4 linked regions of the Rhinolophus ferrumequinum genome follow. Each later gene encodes a partner of the first gene's protein in a complex. Links are inferred from orthologs where the notes say so. Each region holds a gene or a part of one and is shown in the gene's direction. Other genes may lie near its edges. The genes, in order: EIF4A3, ALYREF, UPF3B and RBM8A.

Region 1 (7,830 bases):
TTGACAGGATGGGGGACGATCCTCCTTCCTTTGTGAACAGTCAGCCGGTTCATCATAACCCCTCAGGGAAAGTGCTGGGGAGACTGGGATGAATCCTGGAGACTTTCTTTGGTTCTCATGATCAAGTACGGGAAGTATCTTACAATTCCAATGGATGCACCTGAAATCAGCATTTGATGACTACTATTTAGATTCAGATGACAGTCTTGGTTCTTCGACTGCGTTTCCCCAAAAATCAGACCTAGCCAGACCATCATCAGCTCTAATACATCTTTTAAAGCAAAAATTAATATAAGACCTGGTATTATTATATTATATTATACTATATTATATTACATAAGACCCGGTTTTATAGTAAAATAACACCGGGTCTTGTATCAAGTTTTGCTCCAAAAGACGCATTAGAGCTGATGGTGCAGCTTGGTCTGATTTTCGGGGAAACACGGTAGGCTAATACATGTCCAGAATCGGATCGCTGCTTGACACCTGCATGGCTGTGCCCTGATCACCACCTACCTGTACCCCTGCAATGATCTCCTAGCTGCTTCCTCCCTTGCCCCCAAAGCTAGTTCTCAACACAGCAGGCAGAGCAATCCTCTTAAAGGGGGAGTCCGGTCACGTCTTTCCCTTTGATCTAGAAGCCCCCAAGTCCTCACCATGACCCAGACACAAAGCCCTGCTTATCTTGTACTTGATGACCTAATTCCCGTTCAACATGCCACACACAGGGGCCTCCTTGCTAGTCTGTGAATGCTCCGTGCACACTCCTACCCCAGGGCCTTTGCACCTGCAGTTCGCTCTGCCTGGAATGCTTTTTCCCTCACCTCCTTCAGGACTCCACTCAAGGGCCACCTTCCAGAGAGGGCTTTCCAGACCACTCTATCTAAAATCATAGACTTCCCACCCTGGCCGTCCCTCCACCTTGCCCTGATTTTTCTGTATTGGACCCATTGCTCCCTGACATATTACATATCCTAGTTCCTTGTTTGCTTCTTGCCCTCCTCCCCACTATGAGCCTGTGACCTCCAGAGGACAAGAATTCTTGTCCTTCGTATAGCAGAGCCAGGCCATCTTTTACACTGATTATCAGAACGCGTTCCTGTCCCCGCAAAGAACGCACCCTGAAGTGGCTACTGTGGCAACTACGGTGCCTTTAGCCTCCATCTCCTTGTCTGTAAGACCTTTCCTGATCTGTCCCTGTTCCCCTCCTCCCACTCCCCACCTCGCCTGCATTCATGATGCCACAACCACCCTGGCCTTGTCCTTTGACGTGCCAATACCCTACCCCTCCGGGGAGTCGTTGCACTCCGTCCCTTCTCCCTAGAACCCCGCCTCCCCCACCTCGTGTTTCGGTGGCCACCTCCTCTCACAATTCATATGGCACCTTTCTCCAGCCACCTGGTAAGTCAGCAACCTCCTAACTCCCTTCCACTTTGCCTCGTTTCGTTTGCAGCAGACTGGCTATAAAACCTGCAATTATCTTCCTGTTTTGCATGTTTTGTTGGGCTTGCCCTGTTCTGGAACACAGGTTCTGTGAGGGCAGCACTGTCTGTCCTTTCTCCACCCAGTCTAGCATCTCAGGGGTGCTGTGTGCACATCTGCTGCCCTGATACTGGACGCCAGCAGTGCGGGGTCAGCAGTCCAGTCCGGCGGGTTCAGGCGGAGCTTCGTCGGCTGCCCGCCTGGTGGGTGGGTTAGAGAGGGCAGCACCTAGAAAGAGTCTGCCATTGAGTACCAGGTAGTAGGTGGGGTTCCTGGCAGGAAGGTGCTGTTTGGGGACAGCCCCTTGGATCCAGGATGTCAATTCCCGTGGTGATGACTCATGGAAATCCAGCTCAGCCCAGCCCTACAGCACCCACCGAAACCTCGAAACCTCGTCCCGCCCCTGGACGAGGCCCACCCCTTTCACTGACTGCACTCGGGAGTCCAGCCTGGGCCAGGGAAAGAGGCAGATCGGAGGCGCAGCCCAGCGTCATCCGTCTTCCCCAACACGCTGGCGTGAACTCAGGCCCCCTCCAGTGTCCCTCCTGTCCTCTTGCCCCGGACATGCAGGCACACTTACTGTGTGCTACAGCAGTGATGGGGAACAAAACAGACATGGGCCTTCCCTGATATTGGTCTAATCAGGTGAGATAATACCTGGCCCCAAATATAAAGGGTGTGGGAGGTGAAGCGCAGGAGACAGAGTCTATCTGGGGGGAGAGGTCATCCCCCGGATTAGACTGACCCCAAGAGGACAAAGACGAAGTACGCTTTGTTCCCTATTGCTCCAAGAGCACCGTCCACCAAGAGACTGACTTGACACCCCCCCACCACACAGCTTCTGTCATTTTCATGGACTCTGGCCTGGAAAGCTAGAAGGTTATTGGTCCCAAACCTAAGGAAGAGACCCTTTAGAGGTGTATTCAGACACAACAAAGGGGACTTTGCCAGGAAAACAGCATAAAATACCATAAAAGTGTGAAGGCAAAAAATAAGTGTAGGTGGATCCCGAAAAAGATAAAAATTCCAAAGTGCAGAAGAGGCCATCATCCTCTCGGCACCAGAAGAGCGCAATCATTTCTTCCCCTCCTCTCCGAAGCCAGTGTTGTGTGAAGCCAGTGTCGTGCGGGGCGGCCTGCAGGGTCTCCCTCCCGCTCCCCACACAAGAATGCAGGATATGGTGAGGCCAAAAAGGAACACCCACGAAATTAATCTGGGGAACGTAATTTGGTGGTTACCAGAGGGTAAGGGGGTTGGGGGGTGGGGGATGAGGGTGAGGGGGATCAAATCTATGGTGATGGAAGGGGAGCTGACTCTGGGTGGTGAACACACAGTGTGATTTATGGATGATGTGATACAGAATTGCACACCTGAAATCTATGTAATTTTACTAACAATTGTCACCCCCATAAATTTAAAAAATAAAATTAAAAAAAAAAAAAGGAACACCCACGGAGCCATCGGTAGGGGAGTCACACCACTATACTCTTGCTGGCGGCTGGGTTGGAGACACAGGAACCAGGAGCCACACAATTCTCAATCCTCACTGCGCCGCTTGCAGACTCAGCCACCCTCTTCTTGCTAGCCCCCACTTGCTAGCCACAGCAGTTATATTAGTGGCCAATGGCTCACTGGTTACAGCTGACGGCCAACTAGCCACAGCTGATGGCCATTTGATCACAGTCGACGGCCATTTACTACCTGAGCCAGCACCTTTACTATGTGAGGCCGAGCGAGAGCCTGGAAACTGCTTTTTAGGGCTCTGTCCCCACAGCCAGAATTCCTCAAGTCAGTAACCTCCAATTCCCTAGTCCCCCCCACACTCCTGGTGCTTATTTTACATGCGTTAAGTACTTAGGGCAGCAAGACCAATCAGAATCTCATATAGAATTAAAATGTTTCTCGTTGCTACACTGTAATAGTAAAAAGAAACAGGTGAAGTGAATTTAAGTAAGTCAGTACATCTAAAATGTCATTTCAACATAATCAACGTAAACATTAGGCATGAGCTGGGACGTCTTTGGAATCTGTGCGCATTTGACAAACAGCCCTAGACAAGCACGCAGCTGGCAAAACCAGAGTGTGCGCAACCCCCGAGAAGGCACCGGATGGATGATCCCTCGTGGAGTGAGAAGACCTAAGAACTTCTATTTAAAGTCTAAGAAAGAAACTCGGCTTTATAAGTACTTCATATTTGATTAATACCGGCATCCTTCTTAGGTACGTTTAGCAGGTCAATTAGCTCTAAGGACTGGACTTACTCTGACGTCAGGGTGAGGGCTTGGCCGAGAAGCCCTCACTCCTTTGCTGGCAACCTGTGCAACCCAGTGCCCGCTGCGCTGCCGGGTGTAGCGGGTGACCCGAGCGTCCAGCGTTAACTAAACTCGCCTTCCCCACGGGCCGGAGTTCCGGCAGTCCCGGGCAGAGGCCCCGGGTGAGGGCGCGCCGGGTGACGCGAGCCAAGGAGTCAACGAGAAAGGACCGAGCTGGCGGCGTGCGGGAGTCACGTTCACAGAGGGAAAGACACACAGTGTTCGTACCCCGGGGGGGACACAGGCCAGGCGGGGAGGCCGGCTCTGCAGCCGGAAGTGGAGGGTCAGGTGGCACCACCGGCAGAGGCACAACTAGTTCACGTCCTCCAGGGCAGCACAAGGCCGTGGTCTCCGGGGGTAGGAATTTACGGAGGTCGGGGCTGCAGCGTCAAACGCGGGCGCGTCCCCACGGTCACGCAGCCGGTGCTGGGTCCCGGTGCGGGGACGCCGCCCGCCCGCAGCTCACACAGCCAAGTCAGCTCTCACAGGCCGATCGTGGCCTCCCGCGACGCGTCCTCCGCGGCCCAGCACACGGGACCTCAGCCATGAGCACTAACCCATCTCCCACGTTGTGCCCGCGCCCTCCGGCCCCGGCCAGCGCCAACGTCGGAATAAGCGTTTAAACGGGGGGACGTGCGCACTGGGGGGCCCTCGCCCCGGGTGCCACTTGAGGCAGGGCCGCCTGGGGCTCCATTCGGAACAGGGGCGCCCGGGCTCGGCCCGCGCGGAGGACACGGCCGCGGGGCCGCCGCCGCCTCAGCACCAAAGCATCTTCCTCCGAACTCCCGAGGCCCCACCCACCGTGAGATCCCGCGGGAGCTGACTTGGCGCGAGAGCATCAGGAACTCCGCCCCTTTTCCTGGGGCGAGCAACCCTTCCGCGTCGCGGGACGAGGGGCTCCGCGTCCCTGCTGAGGCGCGGCCCTGACGCACGCTCGCACGCACGCTCTACGCAAGCCGCGCGCCTGCGCGGTGACGTCAGTTCCTGTCGGCGGCGGCCTCGGGCCCTGTTTCCGCTGTGCGCTGCCGCGCGCGCTCCGCTCTCAGCCGACCCGGGATCATGGCGGCCTCAGCCACGATGGCCACCTCGGGCTCGGCGCGGAAGCGGCTGCTCAAAGAGGAAGACATGACCAAAGTGGAGTTCGAGACCAGCGAGGAGGTGGACGTGACCCCCACGTTCGACACCATGGGCCTGAGGGAGGATCTGCTGCGCGGCATCTACGCCTACGGTGAGTGGGCGCAGGCCCGGGGCGCGGGCGGGAGCGCGGGGGGCGAGGCGGGGGCCGCGGGGCGCGGGCGGGGGGGGCCGGCGCCGGACGCCGCGGGTCGGAGCTGAGGCCCGGCGTGGAGCGAGGCCTGGGGCCGCTGCTGGGCGCCCTCCGCCCCCAGCACGCCGTCCCCACGCCGCGTCCGTGGGCTCGGTGTGGGGTCCTCGCGGCAGAGCCCCGCGCTGGTTCCTCAAGAACTGCGAAGTCTTCCGGGCGTTTCCGAGTCGTTCATTCAGCCGGTACGGTCTCGCGCCGGCAGGTGTTAGGGCCGAGCGCGGCTCCGGGTACCGGCGTTAGCGGTGAGCCGGGCGCCTTCGTGCCCCGGGGAGCTTACGTCGTCTGCGGGAAGGACGGCACGTAGCCCAGGTCGCTTCGGGGAGTGATAACGGCTGTGAAGACAAGAAAGCGGGATACCTGGAGTGTGACTTGGGGGGAGCGGGGGTTGAAATAGAGCCGGTAGACGAGGGGGCTCCCAGGAGGAGTCGACGGTGAGCTGAGAGCTGGAGCAGGGAGCCCGTTACGAGAAGACGGGGGTGGAATTGGGCCGCGGGAGCAGCCGATGCCGGGGCCCCGCGTTCCCTGAGCGGGGTGCAGTCCAGGAACAGAAAGAAGCCTGCTGTCCTGGGAGCCCAGGGATGATGAGCTGGGAGAGGGGACCAGGGCCAGCTTTTGAAAAGCGTCACGTTAGGTGATAAAACGTTTGAGTTTGATTTGTAAGAGCAGTGGGCAGCCATTGGAGGATGGAAGCCAGGAGGTGAGGCCGTCAGAGTTACTTACAGATGTTATCCGGGTGTCTGGATTTGAGGGGAGGTAGGGCAGGAGAGGGGCAGGGGGACGAGTTAGGAAGCTTTTGCTCCTGGCCAGGGCAGAGGTGATGGTGAGCACCCCCCGGAGACGGGTGCTACGAGGCTCCCTGAGGGGCCGAGTCCGAGCAGCAGAGGAAAGGGGGCATGCGATTCCTGTGTTGAGCCGGTGGTGGTAGACACACCAGAGGAATGATTCGCGGGAGACCAAGAGTGGTCTGTTAGAGTTTATTTGGCTGTTTGAGCTGCAGGAGGTCAGGCTGGTGGAGCCAGCAGAGGGAGAAGATCATAACCCCCCGAGCAAAGGGGGATGGAGTTTTATAGGAGGGTGAACGAGGCTGTGCCCCCGTCAGTGACAGGGTTTCAGGGCTCCACGCCCCGGCCCCAGGTCACACACCGCCCGGGTGCACTGATCACAGCCCCCCAGGAGATAAAGCAACACAGGATCAAGACATGATGGCTTTGAAGATGCGGTTTCTGCTACTGGCCTAAATATGGCTTAATGGCTTAACAGGCGGGTGGTGCTGCCATTTGCTTAGGTGGGGAGCGCCCGAGGGAGGCAAAATCAGGGGCTCTGTCTAGGACATGGTGAACTTGAGGGGCCTGCAAGCCATCCCGCTGGAGATGCCGGGGAGGCAGGTGTCTAAGTGGGGAGCCCTGAAAGAGGTGGGGTCGGGGGTGCCGATGGGAGTGGTCTGCATCTGCCTCACACCTGGGACTGGGCCATCTTTTACCCAACAGCCCTTGACATCACCGCGGTGTAGACAGAGCAGAGCAGGTGCTGAGAGGATGGCAGGGGAAGTTGCAGTCAGGCTTTGGAGTGAGGCTGACAGCCCTGCCGTCAAACGCGGTTTTTAGTTTCCCGTCCATGTGCTTGGTCATCATGAGGGGTTTAAATCACCTATTGTAGTTGCTTTAGTGTTAGATGGGAAATTGTACTACATTTTAAAGTACTACCAAACTAGTTAAAATACAGTTTGGTACATGCGGTTTTGTTTACTTGGACAATATTTCTGTTCCTTCTGAGTGGGCTCCTCCCTCGGTCACTTACCCTGCTGTGCGAGAGGGATGGGTGGTGGTGGTGCCTTTCCTGTCGCCCCCGCGTCACGACAGGGAGGAACCGGGCGCTGACCACCCCACAGGGCCGCCTGAACAGTAGCTTATGTGCAGTTGCAGACGAAGCAAACAACCTGCAGACGTAATGCTGACACGAAAGAGTGGTGGTTACAGCATTAATGAATTGATTTTCCTTGTTTTAATTCAAAAGTAATGTAAAAAAGAAAAGCAACGCAGGTGATTGTAAGGTAGTCAGACAGCACAGAAGTAATTACATAGGCTAAAATGTGGGCCTCCCCCACCCTTTCTCCAGGAGTACCACCACCACCATTTTGTGTGTTTTCAACCCAACTAGGAGTCGTTATACTCTGCAAGGGTGTTCCTTGTAAAATAAGGGCCCGCGTCAGTCAGTATAAAAGGCCACTTCTGCCCAATTTCAGCAGCTGTTTCTTGAGCGCTTGGTATGTTGGACATGGGGTTAGGAGGGGTGGGGTGGGGGTTAAAAGAAGATGCCATCTCTGTCCCAAGGAGCTTACAGTATATGGGTGTAAAGATGTGGGGCTAGAGGTTCGAGCTAATTTGTTCTGGTTTTCTTTACAGGATTTGAAAAGCCATCGGCAATCCAGCAGCGAGCTATCAAGCAGATCATTAAAGGGAGAGACGTCATCGCACAGTAAGTCTGCTCGCACGGAGGGGTCACATGCTCTGGTAAAGCCAGCTCAGGTGACCCTGGAACAACACGGCTGTGAGCTGTGTAGTGCCACTTACACGCGATTGTATTCAGTAAATACGCTGAAGGTATTATTCTCTCCCTTACGGTTTATTGGTAACATTTTCTTTTTTCCAGCTACTTTATTGTAAGAATATAGTAGATAACGTAAGGAACGCAGTTGCTTACATTATGGGTAAG
Region 2 (6,903 bases), about 1.2 Mb from region 1:
GGGCTGGGGCCTCAGGCCCGAGAAGCTTCCGTCCCCAAGCGGCAAGACACCGGAGTGGGCTGCACTGCTGTCTACGGCCTGGCCTGTTCTAGGCCGGCTGTGAGCACAGTGCTACCTTCCACCTCTCAGCCGTTTCTAGCCTGAAAAGGTCCCACCTCCAAGGCCCAGGCACACGCTGCCGGCACCTGGGAGCGCTGCATCTATGGACAGGACACGCCACACAGCTCGTGCTCCAGACACAAGCGTCCCTCTGATTTCCCAAATTCTAGAAAACGCTGTCAGTCAGCGGTGCCAGCGGCGCACAGTGACCTCCCCAGGCCCCCCGAGCAGGGTCCCCACAGACATCCAGGAGCTGACACTCGCTGCTTCCACCCTGTCCTGGGGTGCCTTTCCCCCATGCCACTGCCTTGGGGGCCCTCTACACTTAGCGAGCGCTAGCTACATCCAGAGGTCACTGCTGCACAAACACAAGGGACCTCAGAGACAAGCCAGGCCCAGTGACCAGGGACGTCTTTTCCAGGCAGCAGCTCCATTTGCAATACGTGTCTTAGGTGCAGAGGACAGAAACTGTCTTTGGACCCGTGACCACAGGGCCAGGCCTGGCCGCCACTCTTGACACCAAACACGGGGTGGCGTGACCCTGCAGCACATTAAAGAAAGAACACTACGGCCGAGCCATAAAACAATGCTCTCAAAACCCCACTTAACAACCGCTTGCACAGAACAAGGGGCTAGGAACACGGCCTGCACTCTCCTCCAGCCTCTCAGCACTCTGCAGCCTCCTTGGCACCCCATCTCAGACAGGCGGCCGGGGTGGGTACTGGGTCAGGGACAAACATGGGCTCCTAAGTACGCTTGGCGTCTGCTGAGCACGCACAGTTCCCCACCCAAAGGGCACAGCCATCCACCAAGTCATGAGGGAAAGTGGCCACCGCTCCACCTTCTCATTCACTTGTTCGGGACAATGTTTCTCAACCTTTTAAAAATCCTTTCTAAAACAAAAATGTCCCTTGCTTCCTGAGCTTTTATGACAAAACCACCAGAAAATTATGTGCTCAGCAAATACAAAACATGTCACTCACTCTCCTTCCCAGGCCTGTGCAGGAGGCCACACTGTGTGACACCTGATTTAGATTAGTTCCCACCCCCCCCCACCCCGGGCCCCCCGGGCCTTTCCAACCTCAGAAGAAAGAACGCCCCTTGGAATCACCATATAAAAAGTAGAGTCCCTTACAAATAGAGGATGGAAAACCATGAGCAGGAGCCTGCTAGCCGCCTGGTGGGGCACCCGGCCACCCAGCCACTGCTGCAGAGCACGTGGACAGAGGAACCTGCCGGGGGCACGTGTTGAGCACACGAACACCAGGTCGGTGGCTCCCCCAAAGGCCTGCTAGTGTCTTGATGGAAGTCCTTTTTAGTTAAAACACCCCTCAACAAGACTTACTCCCAGAGCCCTCAGGGCCACGGGGCAGGTTCATCATAGGCTCAGAGGCTGTCGTTCCGCACAGGAGCTCCACTTCAGCCACAGAAACCCAGTGCCACCTCAGCTGTACAGAAAGCACCTCATGCTCATCAGGCGCCTTGAACTTGACAACTGGCTCACTCCACAGGGTCCAAGGATCAGACTCTGAACCCCTACTCTCGCAGCTGGCAGGCCCACATGTGGAGATGCCCAGCCACAGGCCCAGCTGGAATAATACTGGCGGGCTCCTCAGGCAGTGCAGGCCCAGTGGTGCCATCTTTATACAGGCTCACTAGCTCACACTGACCAAGGGCACGGCCACAAAAATGCTTTTGAGGCCTTTTCAGAAAGGAACAATCTGCTGCATAGAAAGTTGCAAGGATTTGCTCCTTCCGGCTCCCACTGTCTCTGTGGTACCCTCAGGAAGGGCGATTTAAAAATAGATTAAATCAAACCAAGCCTTGCGCATCGCTGTTCTCATTAAGTGAAACCTGATCAAGTAGAGCCAATCAATGAGTTCCTAAGATTAAGTCCCACCCATTTGATTAAATCAGGATGGACTGATTCCTGGGTAATGAGATCTCTTTTCACCCAAAGCAGATATAAAGATTAAGCCTAGAAGAAAAAAGTATTTGCACTAAAAGTCCATGGTTTACATTTCACTGTAAGAAGCAAAGCACGGTTACTGTTCTGGGCACTCATGTAGCCCCACGAAGACCTGGTCATTCACAGGGCAGTGAGGAGCTCCTCAGGAGTCCCCAAGCCCCCCTTCCCTCTTGGGACCGCCCTTGTACCCTAGACAAAGCCTTGACCCTTGCTTCTGCTTTGGGTTCACTTGGGTCTGACTAAAAAACTCAATTCATTGGTGCAAAAATCTGCTTTTGACCTAAATATATAATCAAACATTCCTACTTCACAGAACATCCTGACGACAAAGGAACAGGGCAAAAGACATCACAAAGAAGAAATCCAACAAAACTTGATGGTAGGCACTCTGCAAGGTAACACGTGGGTTTCCTCAAGGAGTCAGGTGTCTTTAAAGGGGAAAGAGGGGCGGGGGAAGGGCTGTTCTGAGTAGCTAAGGAGCAGAGTAGTGAAACGGGGAGTCCTGGTTCAGACCACTTGGGGAAGAAGACATTTGGGGACAACCGGAGAAATCTGAATGTGGGCTAGGGATGGGCACAGGTGACACAGAGGAATTCTTAGGTTGTCTGATGTGACAACAGTAGCGTTACATTTAAATGCGACTGAGTGAGTGGGGGGAGGCAACACATGAAGCGAACATGGAAACGTTATTCACTGTTACTCCCTGTGCTCAATGGAGGGCGTATCCTTCTAATATTCCTTTTCTTGTTTGAGAATTTTCAAATGAAAGGTTTTAATGCATCTCTTTGTCCCCTGAGTTTCCCGGCCCAGTTTGATCGTGATAAAAGGCTGTACTGTTTCTCCTTACAAAACTTTTGATGGTGTCTTTATACAAATATGGGCCCAAACCGCCTACCTTTTCTCTGCCAACTTTTCTTGAGAAAAGGGAGACCACAACCCAGGGACTTTGTGCGGGTATTTCTGGGGGAGACAGCACCGCCAGGCGAGTAAACAGAGCTCAAGACACAGCGAGCACAGGGGACACTCACAGTCCGGGCAGCAGCCATTAAAGGCCATCCGGCAGATGCCGCAATTCTCGTCGTTGGCCACCCAGAGCCAAGTGGCCACGCCGTTCCAGCACTTAATCTTCACCTTCATGACGGAGGAGCCTGCGGGCGAGGGGAAGACATCACCTGCTGCCCTTAGTCTGCAGAGCGACAGCATTTAGACACCAAACAAGGGATGCTGCCCGAGGCAGAGGGTCGGCTCTGAGAAACCCTTGTAGCCACCGAGAGGGGGAAAGGCGGCTAAAGGGGTCGCCCGTGGGAGGACCGGAGCCCCGGATACTCGCCACGCACTCAGGGCATCTGCAAAGACCGGCCAAAGGGCGCGCTGGCTTTCGCTACTAAACTGCCACAACGTGCCATACAGCACTTCTTGAAGGACATGACTAACTTGGGGGTGACGGGCAGAGACTCGAACCTCGCTTGCTGTGAGTTCACGCGGGAAACCACCACCCAGCCGGAGTCGCCCGAGGGGAGGGGCGACGAGCCCCGTTCCGCCCCGCCCCGCGCCCAAGCGGACTTAATCGCGCGCAGCACCGCCCGCCTTCAGTTGGCAGCGCCGGAGCCCGCGCGCGAAGCTACAAAAACTACCGCGGCCGCGGCCCGGGACCTGGCAGTGGAGCCCGCTGACCCCCCCCGCGTCCCAGTGCGCACGCGCCGCCCCGGCCCCCACCGCCTCCGCCGGCCTGCAACCAATCGGCGGCCGCTCCGAGAACGCGGCACCGGAAGGCCCCGCGCGTCGCCGGAAGTGACGCGCCGGCGTGCTGACGCGCGGGCTCGAGCCGAGGCCGATTCCGCGCCCGCCATGGCCGACAAAATGGACATGTCTCTGGACGACATCATTAAGCTGAACCGGAGCCAGCGAGGCGGCCGCGGCGGGGGTCGGGGCCGCGGCCGGGCTGGCTCGCAGGGAGGCCGCGGCGGCGGAGCACAGGCCGCCGCGCGAGTGAGTCGGGGCGGCGGTCCCATGCGGAACCGGCCGGCCCTCGCCCGCGGCGCGGCGGGCGGCGGTGGCAGGAACCGACCGGCGCCCTACAGCAGGGTGAGTGCGGAGGCCGCCGGCGGGCCGCGGCAGGGGAGCGGCGCGGCGGGGCGGCGCGCGGCCGAGAGGGCGACGGGCCGGGCCGGGCGGGTGGGCGCGGGCGCGGGCGCTGGGCCGGGCGGGAGGTCGCGCGCCGGCCGGGCCCGGGAGGCGGACACCCTCCCGGCCTTTGTCTGGCCGCCGAGCCTCGTGGCGGCAGGCACTGAGGGGACGTTTCCGCGGCCACACCGGCGGCGAGAAGTTAGTTGGAAAAGTCGCGGGACGTGGGGCCCCGGCAGGGTCGACTGCGGCTCGGCGCGGGCGGGAAGCGGAGGGCTTCAGGCCCCTTTCCGCACTTTCCTCCGGGCCCCGCTGGGAGAGGGTCTTCCAGGGGCAGTGAGGGCGAGGGGCAGCCCTGGAATGCAACTCACGGGTTTCTTTCTGTTGTGTGTTTTCCCCCTTCAGCCGAAACAACTTCCTGACAAGTGGCAACATGACCTTTTCGACAGCGGCTTTGGGGGTGGTGCCGGCGTGGAGACCGGTGGGAAACTGCTGGTGTCCAATCTGGATTTTGGAGTGTCGGACGCTGACATACAGGTAAGAGACAGGATCCTGTCGGTCGGTAGTTGACCCACGCGGAATTGATGGCGTTTGGGATGTGGCCCTGAATCCCTTCCCACCTTAGGACATTGAGCCCTCCCAGACACCCGAGGGCTAGCCACTGTCCCCTGTCAGGGGCTGCTAGGGTGGAGAGCCGAGGTCATGCTAGAGCTGAACCTGCAAGGAGTAGGTCCATTTGTGCTGGAAAACAGGCCCCCAGCCTAGTGTAAGGAGCCGCTGCCCTCCCTTACTAAAACCTGTTCCGTGAGTGAGGTTCTCTGCCAGAGCTTCCCGTTTCTAACAGGAAAAGACTGGTCAGACTCGCGTGGTTCCTGTGTTACTGATGGAGCTGGGCTGCTTGCTTGCTTTACTTTGTGCTTGTTTTCATGATTCGTTGAGAGGAGAAAGACCTACCTCTGTAGAGGTGACAGCACAGAAGCAGGCCAGGGCGTCTTTCTGGCTGTCGGCCGTGAGCCCTGTGTCTTACACGTGCCGGTCCACTCACCACCATCCCTCAGGTCTTGTTAGTAGCATGACTTGCCGACCCATCTTTGGTTGAAGCCTCTTCCCGCCCCCCCCTTTTTCTTTTTCTTTTTTTGATTGAACCTCAAAGGCATTTAAACCTATTTTCTGGTTAAATGACAACATCTTGGGGGTCAGTCCTGGAGATGGCCGGGTCAGGGTTCTGGGCCTTCCTGGGTTCAATTTCCCAGAGCCCAGCTGTGGGAGGACAGAGCAAGGCTGATGAGCACTCACAGTGTCTCAACACTTTTTTTAAGGTGGTTTCTGGCATCCACTGGAAACCGCTTTTGGTGAACTCCACTTCCCGCTGTGTGCCTGCGGCCGGAGTAGCCCCACACTCTGGGTTCCCTCTCCAACTCCCAGCCTGCCTGAGGTCAGGGCAGTTTCCATGGCAGCGCTTGACTTCAGACTTTGCGGCAGGCTTGAGTAGGAGGAGAGGGAAAGGTGAGCCAGAATCTGCCCCGGGGGAGGGGCTGGGTCAGGGCTCCCGAGTCAGGGCCCTTGGAGCTGGTCCACATGTCAGACGGCGCCCCTTGAGCTGTGGTCTTGGCCTTTGCTGTTTGTTGGCACAGTCCGTGGGTGTGTTGTACACTTTCCTTTGCTGAAGGAGATAGTGACCTCATGTCGTGCCCTGCACTGATGGGCTTTGCGGCCCTTCACCTGCATCGTGGTACAGATGTCAGGTCCCCAAGTTGGCAGGAGCCCTCAGGCCCAGCTGCTCCTGGAGGGGGCTGTCCCACCTGCCCCATCCTTGCCCCCATTTCCCACTACCACTGCCCTGCCCCCAGGGAAATCCCCTCAAAGTAGCTCACACTTCCAGGGACTGTCCCTGGGCCAGCAGAAGGAAAAGAGCCCGCTGACAGTTGCTGTTTCTAACTCCCAGGAACTCTTTGCTGAGTTTGGCACTCTGAAGAAAGCGGCCGTGCACTACGACCGCTCCGGACGCAGTCTGGGAACAGCCGACGTGCACTTTGAACGGAAGGCAGACGCCCTGAAAGCTATGAAACAGTACAACGGCGTCCCTCTGGATGGTGCGTTTGGGATTGGACCCAAGAAGACTGAGGGGCCACGCCTGGTTTGTGGAGTTGGGGCTGGCACCCGTCCATGCAGGAATATGGCTCTCCCCTCTGGCTGAGGACACTTTGCACTCGCCCCTTTGTCTCTCTCCCACTCTGCCACTTCTCACGCTGCCCCATACATGTGGACCAACCTCTTGTGAACCCCCACCAGCAAGCTACATCCCTCCCCTCGTTCAGCTCCTTCGGAAGACTCACTCCTGTGAAGCCTTCTCAGCCGCCAGAGTACACCTCTGAGTGCGGGGCTGTAGTCGTAAACAAAGGTACCAGCTCTCCTCCTGGCAGGGCGCCCACACCGTTCCGCCCATGAGCAGCCTGGACACCTGACCAGACACCCTCCTAAGCTGGACTGAGGAGCGAGGAGGTGGTGGTGGGTTGTCGTCGGCGCCGTCTCTTGTCGCGAGCGATCGAGACACGCACGGCCCCTTCCCAGTGCCTGCATGGAGACCGGGGCGTGGTGCCCTGGGTGGGCGTCAGAGGTCTCTAACAGGAACGTGCCCTCTTGTATTCTTTGCCACAGGCCGCCCCATGAACATTCAGCTCGTCACGTCACAGATTGACACACAGCGGAGA
Region 3 (7,390 bases), on another chromosome or scaffold:
GGCCAAGTCCATTGCTGCCGTTCCCCTGCTTTCAAGTATGTGGGTGCTGGCAGCAAAATGTTTCCATTTCTGCCGTAGCCTGGCTTTAACAAAGTCTCACTTGTGGTAACTTTTAACTGAATGGGAGCGGCCGTTCGATGTAGCAGAGGTTCTACTGGTGCGGGTCCTCCCTTCTGTGGTCTCTCATTCAGGATTCTCAAGATGTCCCATGGACGCAAGTCCCAGTCACGCATCGTGGGAGGGTGTTTTGACACCCGGAGACCTTGCTTCAAAAGGCCATTATAGCGTTCAATCATGCCAGCTACTTGTGGGTTATACGGGGTATGAAAGAACCATTGCACGTCCATCCTGGCAGCCCAGCGCTGCACTTCTTGCCCCATAAAATGGGTACCCCTGTCACTTTCAATGACTTGGGGGTGACCATAGAGGGCGCACAGCCGTGTAAGAGCGACCAATGCATGCCGCTGATCCGCAGCTGGACACGGCCAAGCAAACATCAACCCTGTAGCAGTGTCCACTGCTGTGAACGCATACATCACATTGCGGGCCTTAGGCAGGGGACCAATATAATCCACTTGCCAGCGAGTGAGGGGCACCCTCCCTCGTGTAATCTGCTGTGTCTCCCAGTGGATCCTCCACCTTTGGGGGCTGTCCTGGGCACAGACGGCACAGTCATAGCAGGCATCTGCTATCTCCTGCCATTTCAAAGGCAGACCCCAGCATCTGCTCACCTGCCACATTGTTCGGCTTCCAGCGTGCTGCAATTTCCTATGCAGCCAATGGGCCACATCAGTGGCAGGAGCCCATTCTAACCATCAGACCCGTGCTAGGGCATCTGCTTCATCATTACCTGGGGACACTAAAGGGGACTGACCTGTGACATGCATTAGGGTCACCTCCTTTCTCTGCCCTAGGTCCCAGAGGTCCTGCCACATGGCTTGACCCCACACAGTGTATGGTGTCCGTTGGCCACTGTTCTCAGGAGTTGGACCCCCAAGGAGGGGTGGGAGGACATGGATGGCTCTCCGGCCACCGTGGAGAGGGCCCTGCAGGCTCTGGCTGAGCGGTTGCCGGAGGAGGCGAAGGCTACAGCCGGCTGCGTGGACTGGATGTTCCTCATGGCGTTGAGTCTCAAAACGGAAAGTGCGCTTAATGAAATGATCCAGGTGCCGGACCAGGTGTCCCGGTTGGAGGCTCTGGAAGCCCGGGTCCGCCTGTTAGAAGAGGAGCCCCACAGTGGAGAGTCTGAGGCAGAGGCGGAGGAAGTGAGTGGAGACAACGTAGCTCCCAAACCCCTAGCCTGGCCAATCTTGAAGCAAAGGGTAAAACGTGACCCCGGGGGCGTTGCTGCAGGCAACCCAGCTGTGATTTAGTTCACAACCTACACCCCTTACACTCCCACTGAGTTGCAGGAGCTGGGGAGGTGGTACAGACAGAGCCCTGGAGAGCCAGTCTCCGCTTGGCTACTACGTTTATGGGATAAGGGAGCAGACAACATTCTCTGCTCCCCAGGCGAGATGGAAAAGCTAGCCGTCGTGACAGTGCATCCGTCCCTGTGACAAAGGTTACAGAACTGCCATAGGTTGGCTCAAAACCAGGGCAACCATTCTCTAATGGAGTGGCTCATTGCTGCGGTACGCACAGTATGGGGACAGGCTGGCGAGTTGCCAGACACATACCTTTTGCAGTAGGATGGAGGCCAAGGCCCCGGACTCCAGGTCAGGGTGTACGCTGAGAATCGGAGGTTTCATGTAGAACTGACCATCCACTGGTCTTCCAAGAATAAACAGAAGGTTTTAGCTCTTGTTGATACCGGAGCTGAATGCACTTTGATATATGGCAACACCAACTATTTCCAGGGACCTGTGGAGGAAGCACTATTAGGGCTAAAATATACCTACAAATTGGCCAACTCCCCTCTAAACGATATGTAGTGCATATCTCACCCATGCCTGAATACATCTAGGGCGTGGACATTCTGGCAAGCCTTACACTTAACACAACAGCAGGGGAATTTAGACTGTGATGCAGGGTGGTGAAGGCAATCACCTAGGGACATGCCAAATGATCTCGTTTGAGACTCCCATCCCCGCGTTGCATAACAAATACTTGGCAATATCACCTGCTGGGGAGAAGAGATAACCCAAACTATACAGGAGTTGGCAAAAGTGGGCATTGTTCACCCAACCCACAGCGCCTTCAACAGCTCTGTGTGGCCCGTGTGAAAACTAGATGGCACTTGGAGGATGACTGTAGACTATCGGGAATTGAATAAGGTAACTGCCCCCTCTCCCCCGCATATGCAGCTGTACCTAATATTGCTAGATGGCATTGGACAAGCCCTGGGAATATACCATTTTGTCATAGATCTGGCTGATGTTTTTTTCAGTATAGCTAGTCAAGACCAAGTTGCCTTCATATGGGGAGGGCAACAATGGACATTTACCGTCCTCCTCCAAGGCTACCTACACAGTCCCACTATGTGCCATGGCCTCGTGGCAAGTTGATCTTCAGCTCTGGTAAAAGCCTGTCTCGGTGCACCTGTTTCACTATATAGATGACATAATGTTACCTTATGTGTCTCTTTCAGATCCAGAGCAAGCAGCTGGAACGCTGATTCCCCACCTGGAGCAACAAGGATGAGCAGTGAACTGTACCGAAGTGCAAGGGCCTGGGTTCTCTGTCAAATTCTTGGGTGTTACGTGGGCGAGTAAGACAAAAGTCATGCCAGAAGCAGTTACTGACAAAATACAGTCTTTTCCCGTCCCCTCATTTGTCCCCCAGTTACAGACTTTTTGGGGCTTCCTGGGCGACCCTTCATCCCCCACTTGGTCTAAATCCTTAGGCCATTATGTAGACTGGTTAAGAAGGGGATCCCAGCTCATGCAAAGTTAAATACCCCACCTGGAAATCATGAGGCAGACAGCCTCACCGGGCTGCGTCAGCCCCTCAGGACCATCCATGACTCCCCTGGAAGAAAGAGGAAGGCCCAGCTCATTTGCTCTCCTGACACCTGGGCCCTACCAGGCCCTCTGAATTCAAGTGATTGGGCCACACAGTCTCATGCCTCAGTGAGGCACCAGAAGCAACCTCTTCTTGCTGCTGCCGCAAGACTTACCCACAGGAACACACACGGTCTCTTGGCCATGGCACTGGCAAACCAGGCCTTGGTGGTTGGGTATCTTGGGTATCTTAGCCCCGTGGAGTATTGGTATAGAATAGAGACTAGTAATATCCCCAACCTTTGTCTTAAAACCCCTCCCATGTCACTACTGAGAATCCAGGGCCCATGATAAAGCAGAGCTCCCTATATATGACCCCTTTTCTGATTAGTTAGCCTCCCTCACTCGCTCCTGGCTGTTCACATTTTTTGGGTATTGTTGCTTTCCTCCTGGACCTGTTATTGTTTTTCCTTTGCTTATGTTGTTGTTGTGGTGTCTGGTTACAATGTACATCTTCAACCTGCAAGAATCTGGGAGCTATGATGAGGGGGCGGGATGTAGGGACCTGTCCACAGGCAGATAAGGTAGCTGGCAGTCAAGGTTTCCTGGCTCCATGGGAATGCTACTGCATGACAGCAGGCCTGCAGGGCCTGCAGATGATTTCTCCCATGGAATGCTCTTTGTTTTACTGTACTTATATAACTTTGCTTCTGCGCCTGTGTGCAGAATGCTACTCCTCTGGCTGGCCACCACTGGCGACTGTTCCCAGTCTGTAAGTCTCACTAATACCTATCTTGCACCCAGTTACCTGGTGTGTTCTTTGGGCTTGTGGCTTCTCAGGCACAAATGTTAGAACAACTCAGACTCCGTCGGAACAGGCAGTTAGGCAGAAGGTGAAAGGTCCTGCCTGAGTCTTTTTATTAAAAAATAACCAGCTTAAAATAATCAATATCCCAAAAGACATTTTGGGTTGGCAATTTCTGCTTCCCCTCAGAATCAATGATAGAAAACACAAATTGTTTCCCCTAGTGAGGTACACTTTGGATAACATCGGGTTTATCAGAGGAACACGATATGAAGGACAGCACGCAGAACCTATCTTTCGATCTGAGAAACACTAAACATTCGATATTGAAGTATTCCTTTTACTTAAAAATAGAGACCCTGAGATACCTAAGGCTCCAGAGCTCCCAGCCAGAAGCGGGTAACTGCTTTGCATGCCGGGATTTGTAGTCCAGGAAAGAGTGCTTGTAGTCAAGATGGAGGAATTGCTGCGCCGCGAGGGGACTGGGCGGTGCGCGGATTGGGCTGGGTGAATTTAAGACCAGGTATTCAAACCTCTCCTCCAGAGGAAGCAGGGCGCCCTGTAGTCTCGCGAGATCCTGACGAGGCCCAATGGAATGCGGGGCCGTCTTATCACTAGGGGCATTTGGTGGGGGCGGAGTCTTGACGGAGGTGGGCCGGCAGTCGTTAGCTGCTCCGCGTATGGGCGTTTGGGCCGAGCTTCGACTGTGAGGAGCAAAGCAGTGGCCATGAAGGAAGAGAAGGAGCATAGGCCTAAGGAGAAGCGAGTAACTCTCTTGACTCCCCCCGGGGCCACAGGCAGCGGCGGTGGGGCTTCCGGGGACAGCACCAAAGGGGAAGATAAGCAGGATCGGAACAAGGAGAAGAGGGAGGCGCTGAGCAAGGTGCCTGGTCCGCCGTTGGCCCGTGAGAGGGCGGGACGCGTTCGCCACCCATGGAGGATGGTTGGGAATGGGGTTGCCCTCTTCCTCTCCCGGTCGACCCTTCTATTTCTTCCCCTGTGTGAAAACCGCATCACCCTGTCTTAATCTCTGGACCGAAATGGATGGAGCCCCTCCCGGCCAAGCCCCGGGGTGGGAGTGAGGGAAAGGGGATTCCCAGATGGAGAAGGGTTTAGGTCAGAGCTGTGAGATAATGGGAGGGGTGGGGAGCGATAATGAAGAGAATGAGGAATTAAAACATTAATTGGGGGAAATTATTAAATACTGAAGGGACTATCAAGGGTGGGAGTAGTTTGTGATAGGAGTATTAATGGAGGCGAGTTGAAGGAGTATGGGGAAATTAATGGTCTGGGGGCCGGATCGGGTGCATCCTATTTTGGGAACAATGAGGGCATTCGGGATATTCCTTAGAGTTTTGAATTCTTTATGCTGAATGAGGAAGGGTTTTGTTTTAGGATGTTGGATGTGGTAGGGAAATAATAAATCAAGAGTTCGTGGCACCCACAGAAGACCAGGGTTGGCCTACTAATTTCTTACCACTACATCTATTGAAAAATGGGTGATATAAAATGATGTGGAAACCTGGTAAACTTCGGGGCTTCAACCTGAGATTTTCCTTGGTCCAGACAGTTCTCATTTCTAAGAGTTTTTAAAAACTGTGTTACTATTTTTTATTAATTCTGAACATTAGGAGACTATTTTCTCCTGGGTTTTTATAAATGATCTCATCTTTCAAAGCACAGCTTTCTTCAGGGATGGTGATTCATTCATGTATGACTGAAAATTGATTTGTACTAATTTTATTTTACTTATTCATTTCTGAAGGTGGTAATTCGGAGATTACCTCCCACTTTGACCAAGGAGCAGCTTCAGGAACATCTTCAGCCTATGCCAGAGCATGATTATTTTGAGTTTTTTTCTAATGATACTAGGTAAAATAAATAAATAAAGGGGGGTAAATGAAAAAGGTTTCTTCCATTCTTTTTTATCCTACTGTTTTCCATTTGAGTTTTGAGCCTGTCTCTTTAATATGTGCATTCTTACAATTCAGCCAGACACCTGCAAGCATATTTACATAATTGCTTTCCTCTCTGCAGTCTGTATCCTCATATGTATGCCAGAGCATACATCAACTTTAAAAATCAAGAGGACATTATTTTGTTCAGGGATCGCTTTGATGGTTATGTATTCCTTGACAATAAAGGTGAGTTCTAGTAACTAAAAGAGTTTCTTTGTCATTTGTGTTTAAGACAATGTGTGTTATCACAGTGTTTTCTTAATGCCTTGATAGCTTTTCTAAAATCCTGGATGATAAAACGTGCAACATTTAAAGACTTAACCTATTGACAAACCTATTATAATCTTATACATAGATATGTGTCTTTTCACAGTCCTCTGGTATTTTTATTAACCCGTTATTTCTATAGTTTGATCAACTGAATGAAATTGCCTGTTTTCTCCTCCTGTGACAATTTTTTTGCCCTGAATTAGAAAATCTGTTGTTTGACCAGTTTCAGCAGTTATACTCATAAGTGACTCTTTAAACTTGTATGGCAAGTTTAAACATTTCTCATCTTGCTTCAGGGATCAACATTTGTTTACTTAATTCAAATAACTTAAGCCAATAGTTCCATGCTGGAATACTGTTTAACATTCTAAATTGTATGTAATTAAAACATCGAATTTGATGATCTCCCACTTTGTATCCAGGAGTCTAAAGAGAAGAAAAATTTCTGCCTTAACTCTATTTATTTTCTGCGGCTTGCAACATTTAGCCAGAGAATGTCCTCACTGCCATTTGTCACTTTTCTTTGGCTTTGCAATCATAGTGAATGATGTGTCTTTTTGTTGAGTTTTGTTGTTTTCAGTATTACTTCAAAGTTAGTGAAAATGAAAGCTTTACCAGGGAATATGCCTGTAAAAGTAGGATTGCCACTGTCCAACTTTTATAAATCCCCACAAACTAGCTACTTCTCCCCTCCAGCAACTATATTCCGTAGATAGCAATGGTTTCCTAGTGACTTAACCTGGAAATCTCTGAGTTGTGTTTAACTCTTTCCTCCTTTTTATCCCTTACATTTAAAGAATTGATGAATCTTTTAAATTTGTTTCTTAATGTCTTATTCATCCAGTCTAACTAATATTTTCATATTTGATATCATCACCTAATGCTTAGACAACCACTGTCTCTAAACTTACAGGGTTTTCCTTTTTTTCCTTTTCTGTGTAATTCAGTCTAACTGCCATAAAATTAATCTTTTTGGAAATAGTCATTTAAAATAATAGTTGTGAAAAAGTCCAAACTCCGGGCAGCCGGTTAGATCCCCACATGGACCACTGTGAGCTGTGACCTCTACAACTAGATTGAAACAACTACTTGACTTGGAGCTGATGGGTCCTGGAAAAACAAACTTAAATAAATAAAAGTTTTTTTTAAAAAAAAAAAAAAGTCCAAACTCCTTAGCCTGGTAGTCAGGACCCTCCATAGTCTGGCCTCACTTCCGTTTTCTTCAGCCTATCTTCCACAGTTTCGTTCTGCTTTGGTCTGGGTTATCTATTCATTTTCAAACACATCAGTTATTAAACTAATGTGATTCTGCATGTACCAGGCTTTCCAAAATTATGTTTCCTCCATGACTGCTTTGTGATGCCTTCTGGTCAATTCTACTTACTTTATTCTGGCTTATGTCTATATGCCAGTGG
Region 4 (7,139 bases), on another chromosome or scaffold:
TGTGCCAGGGGCACTGTCTAGAGAGCTGGCCTCTACTGAGCGAGAGCTGGATGAAGCCCGGCTGGCAGGCAAGGAGCTGCGCTTCCACAAGGAGAAGAAAGATATTCTCATGTTGGCTGCTGGGCAGTTGGGCAACATGCATTCTTCCAACTGCTAGGCATCCACCCACATACTCTCCGTCCTCTCCAGGCTCTTTTTTATATGTCCTTTCTAAGACTTAGTGTGATTTCTGTACATACTTTCTCAATTTTATACTTTAAAATATAGAGATATATATATGTGTATAAATTCTACACCTGGATTCTACACCTGGATTCCTATTTGCTAAGAGATCCCCTTTCTTACTTCTAGTTTTTGGATGTAGTTTCATTTGAAACATCTCCACACCACTTTACAAGAAGAGCAGGCTGTCTTTGGAGCTTTGTTGTCTCTTACACTCCTAGTAACTATGTAGTCATTTCAGTAGCATGAGACGATGGACTAAGTGTTCATGTCTCCTCCTTTTAAAATTCCAGGGAGCTTGAATAAGGGCTATGTGCACCCCACCCCATTCCTGCTTTTCTTAGACTCAAACAGGTTATGATGAGTCCGAAGCCTTTTGCTTTGATTTATCTTGAGTTGGGCCTACTTGGTACAGAATTGTTCCTCCAGTAACGGTATTTCCTAACTTACACCACCCCTCCCCACCACTACCTTACTCCCCTCTCTTGACTCCTATCGGTCCTTCATTTTGAGGCTTCTTTACTTTATTATTTGGAAGGAAGTGGAGATACGGTTTCTTGTTTTTAAAGTATTCCTGAGAAAGTGCCCAGGAACAAGAGGAAGTATAAACACAATCTGTAGGGGATTATCACCTAAATTGCATCTGGGGCAGAGATACCATACCGGTAGTCCAGATGCCTGGACGTACTCTACACTACAGAAGGGGTCAGGGTTGAAGTTGCTTGTTTTCAGTATTTCACTTTTCCCTCCTCTTCCTCCCCTGCTCACACAGCTTAGTTAAGCCCTGTATTTAGACCTTCCTGCCTGCAGAGATTGATAAAAGGTAAAACCTATTTCCCTCTTCTCTCTCCTCCCATTATTTTGTTCTTTGGAAAAATGACCTATCCTATTTGGAGAGGACCATGTTCCTCTCTCTGCCATGAAGTTGCTGCTGTCTACTACCTTAGATTCACATTTGTTTTCTCTCCTCTTCTTCCACACTATTAAAGCATGAGTAGATCAGGAAAATCAGAGAAGACTTTGGCATTATGGCACTTCCTAATTGGAACCTTGGGAGACTGCAGGAAGGGAAAGAGAATCAATAATCAGCTATCAGGGATTGCTTTTTAATACCGTTCTCTCCGCCCACCTCTCTCCTGGGTGGAATAGGAGAGATGGGATCTGGAGAACAGCTAAAGCATTCACCTTTGGGAGTATTTTTTGTAGGTCTTCTAAGGTATAATTCCCCCTTGTTTCTGTAGTCTCCTTTATACTATAGTTCAGCTCAATGCACTTTCTAAACTGAACTTGGGAAGTATAATGTGCTTACAATTAGACTTCCCATTTAACAGTTATACACTTTGCTTTCAGAAATAGGTTAGGAAACAGGCCACAGTTTGTTCTTTTGGATCAGACAGGGACAAGATGGAAGTCAGCTTTCTTGCGTTTGAAATCATCTTGGTGACCAGTACATATGGGATCAGAGGTAAGGACTCTAGCAACAATTGTTACTAGTTCTTGAAAGGGACTTCCTTGAATTCTCCACACCCCTTCTCTCTGTTCCATGAAGCACATGTAGGGTTGGAGCAGAGGCTCCTACATTTAAAAATAGGTGTGTCTATTCAGTTTTTATTGATATTTATAATCTGGAAATCACAAACCCTCATTTCTCCTATGCTCCTTTCTTGGGGAAGTGTTAAGGGGTGTGAGTTGTGGGAAGAACTTGTCCTCGTACTTCCTGGATTTGTTTTTCTAGAATACCAACAAGTAAGATCTCAAAGGACTTGAGAAAAATTGTTCCCTGATCTGTACACTTTTGCTGTTAAAGATTTTACTTATCTTTTTAGTACTTTCTATGTATTTTATATGTATAATTTTATACAATTAAAAATAGATTTTTGTCTAGTGAGCCAGATTGACTCTTTCTTGAGACCTATGTATCAGAGGAGCTCGAAAATAACCCTTTCTCTTACATATAGGTATACTAAAAAAGAATTTTTATTAGTATTTTTTTGGGTGGTAGAAATAAAATTGTACTGCTGGGGGAAGACATTTTGCCTCTCCATTTCCAGACATTTGAGGAGCCTAGATTTTGTCTTTAATCCTTTCTCCTTGAGCTCTACACAATATCACTGGCAATCTCACCCATCATGGTGGTCTAAACTGTATCATACATGACTCTCAAATCTATTTCTTCCACCCCAACCTATTTTGAGTCTTAACATCTATATTTCCATATATTGAACATCACCACCTGAATATAACAGAAGCTCTGTGAACTCACATATCCAAAATAAAATCCAATTCTCCATACATGCTCCTGATTCCCCAGATCTGTTATTGGAATTATTATCTACCCAGTTACCTAAGCTAGAACCCCAGATCCATCTTTAACTCTTCCCTAGCATCATCTAATAAGCCACTTACTGTTGCATTTACCTCCTGTGTAAACATTCTAATCTGTTTTGTCTATATTTATTGCCTTAATTCAGTCCTTTATCATCTCTGGGCTGGACCACTGCAATAGTTTCCTAACTAGTCTCTGCCTTCATTTTTAACATCCTCCACATTACTGTCAGATTTCTTTCTAAAATACTTACGACTGTACCACTCCTTTGCTTAAATAATCACTTAGCTATCTTCACCTTTAGCAGTATTTCCCAAAGTTTTATATATGAACCCTTACTATTACCTGTGATGACTTTGGGTGGTAGATGGGCAAACATTTTTCATCTTTACTAGTTACGTTTTTATCTGAATTTGTAGTAAAAAACATAGGTTTTCCACATATGATAGTGATATCTAAATTTAGTGTAAATTTGTTTAAAAAGTCAGTCTATTTAAGGAAAAATGCTAATAAAAATAGAATAAGGCCCATTTACAAATGTTAAAAATAATGAATATGCAAATACTTGAAGTAGGGAAATTTATTTCCTTCAGGATAAGTTCCAGAATCTTCAGCATTGGCCTTAAACTGTATTTCCAGCTTTATTTCCTAGTCACACAGCATCAAGCATACAGAATTTCTTGCTATTCTGATAATCATTAATTCAGTAAGTACCAAATGTCTACTTTGAGCCAGGCACTGTTCTAAACTTTGCGAATACAGTTGTAAATATGAGTCTCTTGACATAAGGATTACATTCTAATGGGAAAAACACACATTAAACAAATTAGAAAGTAAACAAGGTAATTAAGGATTCTGATTTAAGTTCCATGAAGGCATAAACAGAGTGAAGGATAGGATAGAGAAGACCCCTTTGGGTGACCATAGTATTTTAGGGAGACACAAAGGATGGGGTTGAACTAGCCATGTGAAGAGCTGGAGTAAGACCATCAGAAACAGAAAGCTGCATAAAGTCCTGCGATGGGAAACAGTGCAATACAACCGAGTTGAGGGCAAGTGTAGGGAGAGCGTAATGCATGAGAGGGAAGAATGGTGATGGAAGAGGTTGGAGACATAGGCAGGGCAGGCTGTGAGTTTGAACTTTATTCAAAGTGCAAAAATAATTCAAGGAAGGGTTTTTAATAGGGGGATGTGACCAACTAATTTTGAAGAAGATCCCGCTACCTACTGTGGAGAATAGATTAGTGTCTCCTGGTCTCAATACAACTACATTGACTGGAAAACTACCAAATCTTAAAGGCCCTGTTCAAACCGAAGCTGTCCCTTACATGGACTTCCCTTACCCCCAGTCCTATTAGGCACTTTCTTTGTACTGCCGGAGTCCTTTGTGATAGCAGTTATCACTTACAAATGTAATTATGATTGTTGATAATGCAATTATTTTTCCTTGTATTGCCAGCACCTCCTCTAATATTAGACACACGCATATACAGGCATGCATAACTGTTTGATTAAAAAATTAATAAGGGAATCTGCAGTCTACTATTGTTTAAGGCCTGTGTCAGGGTTCCAGAATTTGGGGACAATATGGGTTTTGCCTCTTCTCCTAGGTTTTTAAACATGAAATACCCGCATGCTCTCAAAAAAGCTAAAGCTCCTATTTTGTTTGAAGCCATGCCTTTTTTTTTTTTCCTTTAATTCCCAGAGGTGGTGGGAAGAGTTTGGGAGTTTAGCTTTTTTTTAAAAAAAGAAAAAGTTGGTTTATCTTTTTTCACCAATCCAATTTCAAGACAATTAGGTTTGTTAGTTTCTTTAAGAGAGAAATTCGGTGCCGTCACTGTGTGTTCCAGAAGCAGCTCTTGGAGCCAGCATTGCTGACTGAACCATTTTTTAACAATGCTTCCATCACAGATCCGGCTGCTCCCAGGAACAGGGTACAGGCCTGGAAGTTTTGAGAGAAAAAACTTTTATCAACTTCCATTTCCTAGTATGGGGTGAAAACAGACGGAAGGCAGCCATCTACTAAAGAAACTAGGCTGAGCTCCATCGTCAGTAGTTTTTCTCCAAGGCAGCCTTAAATAGGAGGAAGCCACCATCTCCGCCTACCCCTAGCTTGTCTCTCACGGCAACACTGTTTCCAGCTCACGACCTGCTCAAAATGGCTACAGGAACACTTCCGGCTCTTCCCGGACTAAGCCCGCCTCCAGGACGTATTTTCACCGCACCGATGGGCGGGACTTAGAGTAGGCTTTTGATTGGTTATCTTGACTGGCGACCTTTCCCCTCCGCGACAGTTTCCCGAGATGCTTAGTTCCTGAGCGGCACAGACGAGAATTAGAACGAAGGCAAGATGGCGGATGTGCTGGATCTTCACGAGGCCGGGGGCGAAGATTTCGCCATGGATGAGGATGGGGACGGTGAGGACGGTGGAGGCGGCTGCGGGAAGCGGGGAAGGTGCGACAGAAGGGCGTACTAGGAAAACAATTTCCATTCTTCCCGGCAGGGAGGGTGGGAGGCGGGGAACCGGGTTTCGGTTGGAGTGGAGACTCCGCCCCCTTCGGGGCAGAACCTGGGGGCGGGACTGGGAAGGGACTGGGATGGGAGGCGATGGGGGTCCGCTTTCAGATGTTGTCTTGGGAGAGAGACTATTGTGTTGTTTTTGTTACTTACTCTTTACTTATGGGGCGCAGAGAGCATCCACAAACTGAAGGAAAAAGCGAAGAAACGGAAGGGCCGCGGCTTTGGCTCCGGTGAGTGTTTGTGGGGAAAGGGGGGTCTAGAACGGCTAGAGCTACGGGTTTTGGAGTCCCCATTCTGATTCCTGGGGAACGGTGGGAGAAGGGATTTCCGGTGATCTCGTGTATGTTTCTTATTAGAAGAGGGGTCTCGAGCGCGGATGCGTGAGGATTATGACAGCGTGGAGCAGGATGGCGATGAACCTGGACCACAACGCTGTAAGTAACATGGAGCCTGTAGGTGTCTGTGTAGGAATGAGGGACTAATAAAGTAAAACCAGTAGGAAAGGGGTCAGAGATAGCTTAACCAGTCTCTGGAGTTCACACTCCTGTGATCTTGCTTGAAGTTTTTCTCTCATGGGCTCAAACAACCTCCCTCCTTTCCCCAACAGCTGTTGAAGGCTGGATTCTCTTTGTCACTGGAGTCCATGAAGAAGCCACGGAAGAAGACATCCATGACAAATTTGCAGAATATGGGGAAATAAAAAATATCCACCTCAACCTGGACAGGCGTACAGGATACCTGAAGGTATCCTAAGTTACACTCCATTGCCTCCCATGTTTGGTGTGGTTGGCCAAGAGCAAAGCTGAAATAAAATATCATTGGAAATTGATTTTGTTAGGAAAGAAACAGACAACATATTGTAAATACAGTAGGGATATACCGGGGTGCCAAAAACATGTATACACATGACTTGTATTCATCTTTTGTTATCGGTATATATTGAGTATTACAATTTTAACACAGTTTTTCCTTTCTTAAGATGTATATATATATTTTTTGGCACCCTCTGATATATATTCATTGTTTAAAGTTTATACACATGGACTGTCCTACTTGAGTAGAAAACAGCTCGGTGGAATAGGAGGGTTTTGATACCTGCCTTTCCACTTGCCCTAGGGCTATACTCTAGTTGAGTATGAAACATACAAGGAGGCCCAGGCTGCTATGGAAGGACTCAATGGCCAGGATTTGATGGGACAGCCAATCAGCGTGGACTGGTGTTTTGTTCGGGGTCCACCCAAGAGCAAGAGGAGGTAAAGTGGAGAGGGCACACACCGTCTTGGGGAAGGGAATATGAGTGAAATGGAATAAGGACATTGTATTGTGTCCCTCTGACGGACCTCCCTCCCTTCATTTTCCCTAGAGGTGGCCGAAGACGCAGCAGGAGTCCAGACCGGAGGCGTCGCTGACAGGTCCTGTGTTGTCCGGGTGTTCTCTCCAGAGATTCCAGCCTTGGAGACATAGGGCTGGGCTGGAACTCACTGTTTGTATTTAATCTCTTCCCTTATTGCTTGGTGGTTCTTGTGAGTTACAAATAAATGTCCCGTTCTTTTTTTCTACATTTAAAATTACTTTTCTGTTCTAACATTGGAAGCTCTGAAGTGCTATTTCCAACAAGGTAGTATGGGTCACTGTAAAGATACTTCTCCCAGTGACTGAATTCTGTGTGAATATCTACATTACACATAGTCTCAAGTCTCAAAGGGTCTAAGTAGAGACACTGCTTAGTATTTATTTTCCTTGGAAGTAAGAATAGGAAGAGCAGTGAGATGTTCTCATGATGTTAAAGAATAATTATTCTGTCCCTATATACTCTGTCCGGAGCAAATGGATGTTATAGGAATGTTTCTTTCATTTCTGCTGCTGTTGCTGCCACGTTTGTGTGTACTTCCATCTGTCTAAGGGTCTGAATGTCCCGTCGGGGAGTTCTTCCAGACCCTCCTTCCCTGGAGGAGTCTATGTTAAGTTCTTGGTGCCCTCTTCAGCATCCAAGCGCAAATGCCCCATGGAGGACAGAATCCAGAGCAGCATTGAGGACACCAAAGAGGAAAAGGATGTGGCTGAGGCCGGG

Evidence for each region.
Region 2: EIF4A3 (region 1) and ALYREF share a complex: the UniProt entries of both Homo sapiens proteins name them as parts of the ALYREF/THOC4-EJC-RNA complex. The link is inferred for Rhinolophus ferrumequinum from reciprocal best matches to the Homo sapiens genes EIF4A3 and ALYREF.
Region 3: EIF4A3 (region 1) and UPF3B share a complex: the UniProt entries of both Homo sapiens proteins name them as parts of the mRNA splicing-dependent exon junction complex. The link is inferred for Rhinolophus ferrumequinum from reciprocal best matches to the Homo sapiens genes EIF4A3 and UPF3B.
Region 4: EIF4A3 (region 1) and RBM8A share a complex: the UniProt entries of both Homo sapiens proteins name them as parts of the ALYREF/THOC4-EJC-RNA complex. The link is inferred for Rhinolophus ferrumequinum from reciprocal best matches to the Homo sapiens genes EIF4A3 and RBM8A.

What each region holds. Positions count from the first base shown.
Region 1 is NC_046304.1:53,515,922-53,523,751, reverse strand, and holds the start of EIF4A3 (eukaryotic initiation factor 4A-III), read left to right. Parts: upstream 1-4,817; 5' UTR 4,818-4,853; coding exon 4,854-5,022; intron 5,023-7,520; coding exon 7,521-7,593; intron 7,594-7,830. UniProt on the Homo sapiens protein: ATP-dependent RNA helicase. Involved in pre-mRNA splicing as component of the spliceosome. Core component of the splicing-dependent multiprotein exon junction complex (EJC) deposited at splice junctions on mRNAs.
Region 2 is NC_046304.1:54,671,033-54,677,935, reverse strand, and holds the start of ALYREF (THO complex subunit 4), read left to right. Parts: upstream 1-3,895; 5' UTR 3,896-3,916; coding exon 3,917-4,153; intron 4,154-4,597; coding exon 4,598-4,729; intron 4,730-6,137; coding exon 6,138-6,285; intron 6,286-6,850; coding exon 6,851-6,903. Other genes in the region: ANAPC11 (anaphase-promoting complex subunit 11), read right to left, coding at 3,097-3,205. UniProt on the Homo sapiens protein: Functions as an mRNA export adapter; component of the transcription/export (TREX) complex which is thought to couple mRNA transcription, processing and nuclear export, and specifically associates with spliced mRNA and not with unspliced pre-mRNA.
Region 3 is NC_046284.1:37,074,217-37,081,606, forward strand, and holds the start of UPF3B (regulator of nonsense transcripts 3B), read left to right. Parts: upstream 1-4,385; 5' UTR 4,386-4,474; coding exon 4,475-4,630; intron 4,631-5,512; coding exon 5,513-5,619; intron 5,620-5,784; coding exon 5,785-5,891; intron 5,892-7,390. UniProt on the Homo sapiens protein: Involved in nonsense-mediated decay (NMD) of mRNAs containing premature stop codons by associating with the nuclear exon junction complex (EJC) and serving as link between the EJC core and NMD machinery.
Region 4 is NC_046305.1:50,159,164-50,166,302, reverse strand, and holds RBM8A (RNA-binding protein 8A), read left to right. Parts: upstream 1-4,819; 5' UTR 4,820-4,898; coding exon 4,899-4,965; intron 4,966-5,238; coding exon 5,239-5,298; intron 5,299-5,424; coding exon 5,425-5,502; intron 5,503-5,675; coding exon 5,676-5,812; intron 5,813-6,184; coding exon 6,185-6,321; intron 6,322-6,431; coding exon 6,432-6,477; 3' UTR 6,478-6,636; downstream 6,637-7,139. Other genes in the region: LIX1L (LIX1-like protein), read left to right, coding at 1-157.